2 linked regions of the Oryzias latipes genome follow. Each later gene encodes a partner of the first gene's protein in a complex. Links are inferred from orthologs where the notes say so. Each region holds a gene or a part of one and is shown on either strand. Other genes may lie near its edges.

Region 1 (3,992 bases):
GAGCGAGCTGGAGGAGAATGAGAAGTTGATGACGGACCTCACTGAGCAACTGAAGAAAGTGGAAGATGAGGCTGGGGAGATCATGAAAGCGTGCCAGGAGGCTGAGGTCAGTGCAGATCATTCCCTTTATCCAGGATTTTTTTATGCTTCTGTCTTCTTGAAGACATTCCCATGTTTTTTATTGAGATATTTGGGATTTCTTGTTAGTTGGGACTAAATCTTTACCTGATGTGGGGGGCAATACAAATGTTTATTCAGTGTTTCTCTTTATTCACACATTATCTAACTGTATCTTTACATAGGCTGCACTACCTGAGGTACAGGAGCAGTATCAGAAGGTGTCAAAGGAAATAAAGATCCTGCAGCAGCAGGAGCACGCACTGCAGGAGGAGTCCCTCAATGTGAGGCTCTCTATCGAGCAGATTGACGCCACCATAACCAAACACAACGGCAAGATCAAGCACTGGCAGGACGAGGTGAGTGACGGGACGCACTTAGAAAGGTACTCATTTGGAATCTAAAGATATAAGCAGCAAGTCCCAAATATTTAGCTTTTTTTGTCTTATGGAAGCACACAGCAATCCGTGTTTATGCACTTTCACTTTTCAGGATAATGACCTTAGTTAGTTTTGATTGTTTTGGCCTGTGAGGCTGTGAGAAAGTCAGACTTTTTTAGAGATTTGGTTTTGCTCCAGAAAAGCTGCCAGCATCACATCTATGGGCTTTCACTGACTTTGAACTGCTTCAAATGAAGCAGCACGCTGGGGTCGGCCATTTCTGCATCCACAGCCTCCAGGAGAGGTTGCTTCAGTGAAACGGCTTTCATTAGTTCTGATTCCAAAGCTGAAAGCTTCATTCTGACGAGTCATTGTCCAAGCGGCCAGCTTTCAGTGATCACAGTGAGCCTCAGTCAGACCTTAAGAGTTCACCCACAGTCACAAACACCTGCTGCTTTGTCTTTACGTGGACCGTTTCCTTCTTGACATGTTCCTAAAACGGGAAATTTGATTTTCCAACAGGCTTCCAAGTTGTCCCTACATGTCATTGAAGGCCAGCCAAATGAGAAACTCCCCGTCCTCGCTGCTGCTGAGCTTAAAGCCATCTCAGATCCCAACGCCATCGTGAACAAGATGAGCACGTTGGAGATCCAGTGCAGTCATCTGAAGCCCAACCTGGGAGCCATCTCAGAGTACAAGAAGAAGGTAAACACAAATGACAGGAAATGTGACAAATACAGGAACGCAGTCATGATTTGTTCTTTTGAAGGTCAAAGGTCACTTCAGCTCAGGCCTATACAGATATTAAATGGTGATGGTTATCAACTGACTGAGGAGGACCCAACTATGTTTCCCTTCAGAAACAGTACCAAGTCCAAAATAAAGATCCGTGTTGTGACGTCTCCTTATTTGTACCATTACTCTAAATGTTTTAAGACTGTAACTCCCTCACTACTGACTTTATACATTTATCTCTTTAAACTTTCAAAGTTATTCAAATGAAGTCCATCATGGTAGAAAAAAACACAGATCTGCTCACGATTAAATATTTGTGGATTTGATAAGATGCACACACTATTCCACAGAGACACGGCACATAGATTGATTGACAGGATCTACAGCCAATCAGGACACAGAAAACAGTGCAGTTTAAAAAAAAAACATGCACAATTGCACTGAAGTCTGCAAGACTGTAAAAGGTGAACCACTATATATTAACTTTAAAGAGAAAAACAAATGATACAGCTGCGAGACATGAATCTTTTTAAGCTTCCTATCATCCATTATAGTAATCATAACTTTCTTCTCCAACAAAATATTGTCGCAAATTAATATTGGGAGATAAAACAATTGGAAACATGGTAGAGGCCATGATTTGTGGAATAGTTGGTTCAAATTGAACAAAGTAGGAAACCGCGTGTCCTTTTTGTTTTGAGTTTGGAAGCGTTAAACGGCGCGCTGTCCCTTCATTTGTTTAGACGCAGGTGTTCAGTGGATTTCTGAAACCAGAATTTCCGGTTCCCCCCGTCTGTAAGCTAAAGTGAAATGCTGGAGGGATGTAAGGATGAGCAGCGTTGGTGTGGTGTTTGCAGGAGGAGCTGTACCTGCAGCGTGTGGCCCAGCTGGACGAGATCACAGCGGAGAGGGACACCTTCAAATGCAGCTACGAGGACCTGCGGAAACGGCGACTCAACGAGTTCATGACCGGCTTCAACATGATCACCAACAAGTTAAAGGAGAACTACCAAATGCTGACACTTGGTGGCGATGCAGAGCTGGAGCTCGTGGACAGCTTAGATCCCTTCTCTGAAGGCATCATGTTCAGGTATGGACTGAAGTTCTCCACTGATCGCCTCTGTAGATGCTTGTTCTGCACATGAGGAAACCTTTGGTGTTCCTGCTTTTCCCCTCCAGTGTTCGTCCTCCAAAGAAAAGCTGGAAAAAGATCTTCAACCTTTCAGGAGGAGAAAAGACCCTCAGCTCTTTGGCTCTCGTGTTCGCTCTTCATCACTATAAGCCGACGCCTCTCTACTTTATGGACGAGATCGATGCTGCTCTGGACTTCAAGAACGTCTCCATCGTGGCTTGTTACATTTATGTAAGTATGGACCTAAAACAAGTCATTTCAAATCTTTTGTATGTTTTAGAGTTAGGATTTTATTAGGTCATGTGACCTGAAGTCCTTTTTCTGTCCTCTAGGAACAAACCAAGAACGCTCAGTTCATCATTATCTCCTTGAGGAACAACATGTTTGAGATTGCCGATCGCCTCATTGGCATCTACAAAACCCACAACACCACCAAGAGCGTGGGCATCAACCCCAAAACCATCGCTTTTAGAGAGCACGACGCCGTCAGTGCTTGAAGCTCAAAGCCAATGAAAATGTTTTATACTGTTCTTTTATTGAAATGCTGCTATTCTTCCTCTGTACTAATAAAGCTTTTGATGACGTGTTTATACCTTTGAGACAATAGCATCTGCTGACTTCATATTGTCGACTGAATAGAAGGATCTGCATGACAATATTTAAGTAAACAAACCAATGATCTGCACCTTTCAAGAGAAACGGATTATCTGATGTTCTAAATGTTTTGTCAGAATTGTGAAATTCATATTTATTTAAAATACAGATACAATTAAAGCTTTTCCTTTACTATAACTAGCCATTTAGTTTGTAATGAATAAAGATTAAAAAAGACTTTTAGAATGGTGTAAAAAAATTTAAATTTTGACTAATCAGAATGCAAGACACGCAAATGTTTCCTGGACAGTCTCGATCAGTCGATCACAGAATGATCAAACTCCACAGGACAAGCAGAGTTAGGAGGCTGATCTACGAGAGGTGCATCCATAACCCTTGTGCTATCCTAGGCACTTTAACATTGGGAGTTGGGTCATCTAGACCCACTAGACAGTGCTCTGAACCTTTTTTCAATGATTTGTGATCTTCACTGGTTTCCATGGATTACATGAAATCTTTCCACCTTTGTCATGGTAGAGAGAACACGTCAATGTAAGGGTGAGGTCATCTAAGACAGCACCAGGGGTTAAACTGCTTTCTGAGAAGAGAAAAATGTCGACAAACTACAATGAAAGAATTATTTAGGGGGAAAACCATTAGAGAATGTAGGGGGTACCATGAGGAATGAATGGACTGCTGCTTCTAGATTCTTCTGTACTTTACATTCTTAACTGGGGGCTTTGACCGATTTTAGTCATCAAATGTCAACAAAAAACTACATGATCACCTATGAATTCCCCTTTGATTTTATTTCTCAAACCTTTATTTAAAAAAAAAGCAGAACACTTCCAAAGACGAGCACAACACCTTTCAGTTACACAAAAACTTGAAGCTACGTGAGCTGTGAATAAAGAACACAGCCCAAAAAGGCTACATGTTTAAATTCTTGTCACTTTTTTCAAATTTCTTCTTGATCAATACGCTTTGGAGTGATAGTTTCCCATAATTCATAGGGTGAAAACACGGTGCCTTGA
Region 2 (4,226 bases), on another chromosome or scaffold:
TGGACAAAAACGAGTGGTAAGAGGTGAACTTTCTCTCTGAACTGATGCTTTATTTAATCCATAGTGATGATCAGAATATATAGCACTTTCTTCTGCCACACCGCATAAAAAAAGCGATCTAAACCGAACAAATGAAAAGAAAAACATACTAAAAGCGGATTGAATATGACCATGGTTTATGCCATGCGTTAATTTCTGATAATGCTTACTTTGTCGGCCATGATCCTTTACTTATGTAACATAGGTCTATACAAAAGTCAAAGTTTGTTCGTTAATGTGTGTAAATGGGCAGTCCAGGCCATCAGCTTCATGACTGACATCAGCTAGCACTAATCTGCTGTGTCATGCTAAAACACCAACATGCTGCAGTTTAAAGCAACTTCATCACCTCAAACTGCTGGGGTTACGAAACTGCTGCCACATCACCAAGAGTGGGAGAGCTGACCAGACATGACTTTGTTCCGTTCAGTTACTGCGTGCCAACCTTACTCACTAAAGCCATTTATGGGGAACATTTTTGATAAAACAGTAAAGCAAACAAAGCTTTTATCTTTGCGTTTCCTTCTGTCATCTCCTGGTCTGTCCTCTGCTTCAGGGGGGTGACAGTGATGACGACGATGTTGAGGGGTTTACTGGTTCCGATGACATCCAGCCGTCAGGTGGTAGTGAAGCTCCACCCTCACAAGACCTGGAGGGTGTGTCCACCTACGGGGAGGATGAACTGGTACCTGAGCCTCACAGAGTGAGTCATGCAGGGTTTTTTTTTCTTTTTCAAGAACACATAATGGATTTAGTTTGTTTTGTTTGTTTGACACGTATTCATTTACCTGGCAGTAAACCTGAAGCCTGTGAATCTCGATCATGAAAGGGCCTGCATCATGTAAAATCAACCTTTTGAGCTTTTAAGTGTATTATCATGTTAATTCCTCACTATAAACAACCCCAAAGCGGTATTCGGATCCATTCACGCATTTCTGAGCACCAGCCCCTCCCAACCCGTGAAAATAAGCGGGTTCATTGTGGCGTAGATAAGTGAGGAACAGCCCCTTCCAGGAAAAGTCTACCCTGCCAGCGCCACCCCCAGGCTAACACGCACACCCACTTTCTCCACAAACCGAGCGGTGATCATCAAAAGCGCTTTCCTTTTATAAGCACATGTATCTTTGCAATAGTTCAAATGTTGTTTGTTTTTATTGGCGAGATGCAGCCGAGGCCGACTCTAGGTTGATGTCATGAAGTGAGCGGCACCCAAGCGAAAAAGAACTGATGAAAATAACAAATATTTAATACAAAATTTGTTCTGTAGTGTGCCAAAATGTAATTTATTATTACATATATGGATATAGTTCACTCAGAAATGCTTAAAAAGCATGATTGAGGCCTTTTCCAAAAAGGCTGAACTTTGTATGGAATTGATTTTTACTCTACTGCTTGTGTTTGCAGGTCAACAAAATTGAAATCAATTATGCCAAGACAGCAAAGAAAATGGATATGAAGAAGCTTAAGAACAGCATGTGGACTCTTTTAACAGATAGTCCAGAAGAAAAGGTACAGGTGCTTTTACTTTGTTTCTTTCTTTTTTGTCTGTATTGTATCATGTTGATGAATGTTTAGGTGTCTGGCGTTGGTGCTTGAGGACGGTCTAGAGAGGGCAGCTGTGTTCATCTGGTTTTTGTCTTTCTGCAGGTGAAGGAGACTGTTGAGACTCAGGATGTGTGTGGGGAGAAAGCCTTCAGTCAGACCACAAAGATGCTGCTTCAAAGGTACCAACACAACTCTGGCACTTATAGCAACAATCATCAAAAGCTTTAGAAAGCCTCACATTCTACTAACATTGCTGGTTTGGAATCCATGCGTGGGTTTTACCAAAAAGTTTTGGCTCCTCCAACACTTTTTTTTTTCGTATTCTTGTGAGACATTATCTTCCTTTATAGACTGATGCTGACAGAACCTTGAAGAGTTTGATTTGAAATGTGCTCCTCCTCCTTCTCCCCCCTCCTTCTTGTACCCCTTAGGTTGCCGAACGTTATGGCTCAGAACCTGTCGGTGCCGCTGGCCTTTGTGGCTCTGCTTCATCTGGCAAATGAAAAGGTGCAACTATTTATTAGAAAATAAAAGAAAACATTGCAACCCTCTTGGCATTACAATAACTCCTAATCATAAATAGACAAACTTGCATTTTTATGTACAGTACAATCAATTCAATATAATGATTGTCAGATAGAGTTTGATGAATAGCTTGAAATGAAGTGGGAAGAAGCAAATTTACATAATCCCACCAAAAATAAACAAATATTAAGCATATGATGGAGCTAAAAGAAGTGTTTCACACTTTTCTGTGTTGTTTTTTTACTTAAAAGGGGAACATAATTTCTAGTTGCTTAGCATGTGATCTAGTTTTTTCCGTCTTTTGACAGTGTGTGAAAGTTTGAAATGGCTAATTGACACGCACATCTGTAACGTATATCTATTACATATACTGATGTCATCATGTAATCAGTTCCTAGATTAATGGGAAAAAAAGTGTTTATCATTTACCAATGAACAGCAGGACTGACGACCCGACTCTATTTTTGGTTGTCAAAAAAACCAAAATAATATTGGTTCATGAGTTAATTCATTTAAAATCAAATGGAAGTAAATGAGTTGTACTGTATTTGAGGTTCTGAAAATATCTTATCAGTTTGGTTTCTTTTTATTTAACCTTTATTTTACCAGGAAGTCCCTTGAGATAAAACATTTTTAGAGAGAGACGTGACCCAGAGGCATTGATACACACACAAACATAAAACCATGAAAATAAAAGAACATTTGAAACAGCTCAAGATAAACATGTGCACTCTTCGGTCACTCACTCAGTGTTATCAGTTTGTGGGATCACTTTGCTTATAAAGATAGTGACAGACGTGTCATTACTCCTACTCGACTTTAAAATGTTTCAACTTAAGAGCCTTTTAAATGAATCCTGTTTGTCTTTAAAATGACTTTAATTTAACATTATATTTGACATTAATTTATTATCAAGAGCAACTTTCAGCTTTAGGAATTCTACTTTTATAAAAGGTTATAACAACATAACCCAAGTTATTTTCTGTAGACAAACGTCTGAAGCTTTAACACCTTTTAACAGTTTTGAATTGTCTGTTTTACAGAATTTGGAGCTGGTCAAAGTTGATGACATGTCAGACATTATCATCAGACAAGGCCGCTAAGGAGAAAACCAGGAGATTTTTTTAAATTCTGTCCTCTTCTTTCTTTGAATTTATGCTTTTTCTATTTAAAATGTCAGGTTTTATTCACTTTGTGCTTAAGTTTTAAATCTGCCCTTTTTTCCCTCATAATGACAAGACGACCTTTTTTTTAACTCTGTACTATTTCATGATTATCTGTTGTGTAGATAAAAGAACTTTTCAACCACTGCTCAAAAGATATATATTGTCAAAAGAAATAAAATGTTTTTTTTTCCCATAAATGTGGTTGAGTTTGTGACTTAAATTTGGGCAGAACGTGTGAAATCCTGGCACATTAAACCTGTTTATAGTGTGAGTTTGCAACTTTGCTGTCGCCTTCCCGTAGAGGTTAAGCCGGTTTGTCTGGGTCTGTGCTTCCATCTGGGTGAGACGACATGACGTCCTTTCATTAAGGAGATACAGAACAAGAAAGAGCAGAGGACTAATCACATTCCAGTCCTTGGCGTAGAAGTTTTTAATCTTGCACACAGGAACTTTGATATAAACAGTGTTTTTACTTTAGGTTTCCTAATTTAATCCTAATATAATGGTAGAAATGTGCTTTTGTCCGATTATCACTAAATTGTGTAATGTGTCTCAAAATGTTTATAGTAATGCAATTAATATATAACACATAAGTAATTAGTTTTGTTTGTTTTGTTAAATATACTGTTTAAAAGTGGTTTTCCCATCATACCTCTCTTCAGACTTTCTGTTTAAAAACACAAAAGATTACTTCAAAGGATTCAAGGAGTATTTATTGCCAGTGAGCAGGGCATTTTCACAGAATTGGAATTTGCTGCGGTGCTAATGTGCGACATAAAACACTTGAATAACAAAAATAAATACCAGAGCAAAAAAAAAAAAAAAGATCTGAAAGGGGTGAGTTAAGAGTTAACATTCATGACTCCTATCTCAGATCCAACATGTGATGGAAACACCCTCAGATGGGAATTGAGTAGGAAGGCTGGAGCCACACAAAACCCAACATTAAGG

The links.
Region 2: smc4 (region 1) and ncaph share a complex: the UniProt entries of both Homo sapiens proteins name them as parts of the condensin complex. The link is inferred for Oryzias latipes from reciprocal best matches to the Homo sapiens genes SMC4 and NCAPH.

The regions. Positions count from the first base shown.
Region 1 is NC_019871.2:13,504,423-13,508,414, forward strand, and holds the end of smc4 (structural maintenance of chromosomes protein 4), read left to right. Parts: coding exon 1-106; intron 107-302; coding exon 303-476; intron 477-1,019; coding exon 1,020-1,202; intron 1,203-2,089; coding exon 2,090-2,322; intron 2,323-2,411; coding exon 2,412-2,595; intron 2,596-2,696; coding exon 2,697-2,861; 3' UTR 2,862-2,970; downstream 2,971-3,992. UniProt on the Homo sapiens protein: Central component of the condensin complex, a complex required for conversion of interphase chromatin into mitotic-like condense chromosomes.
Region 2 is NC_019867.2:25,810,750-25,814,975, reverse strand, and holds the end of ncaph (condensin complex subunit 2), read left to right. Parts: intron 1-595; coding exon 596-742; intron 743-1,443; coding exon 1,444-1,548; intron 1,549-1,686; coding exon 1,687-1,763; intron 1,764-2,015; coding exon 2,016-2,091; intron 2,092-3,152; coding exon 3,153-3,212; 3' UTR 3,213-3,472; downstream 3,473-4,226. UniProt on the Homo sapiens protein: Regulatory subunit of the condensin complex, a complex required for conversion of interphase chromatin into mitotic-like condense chromosomes.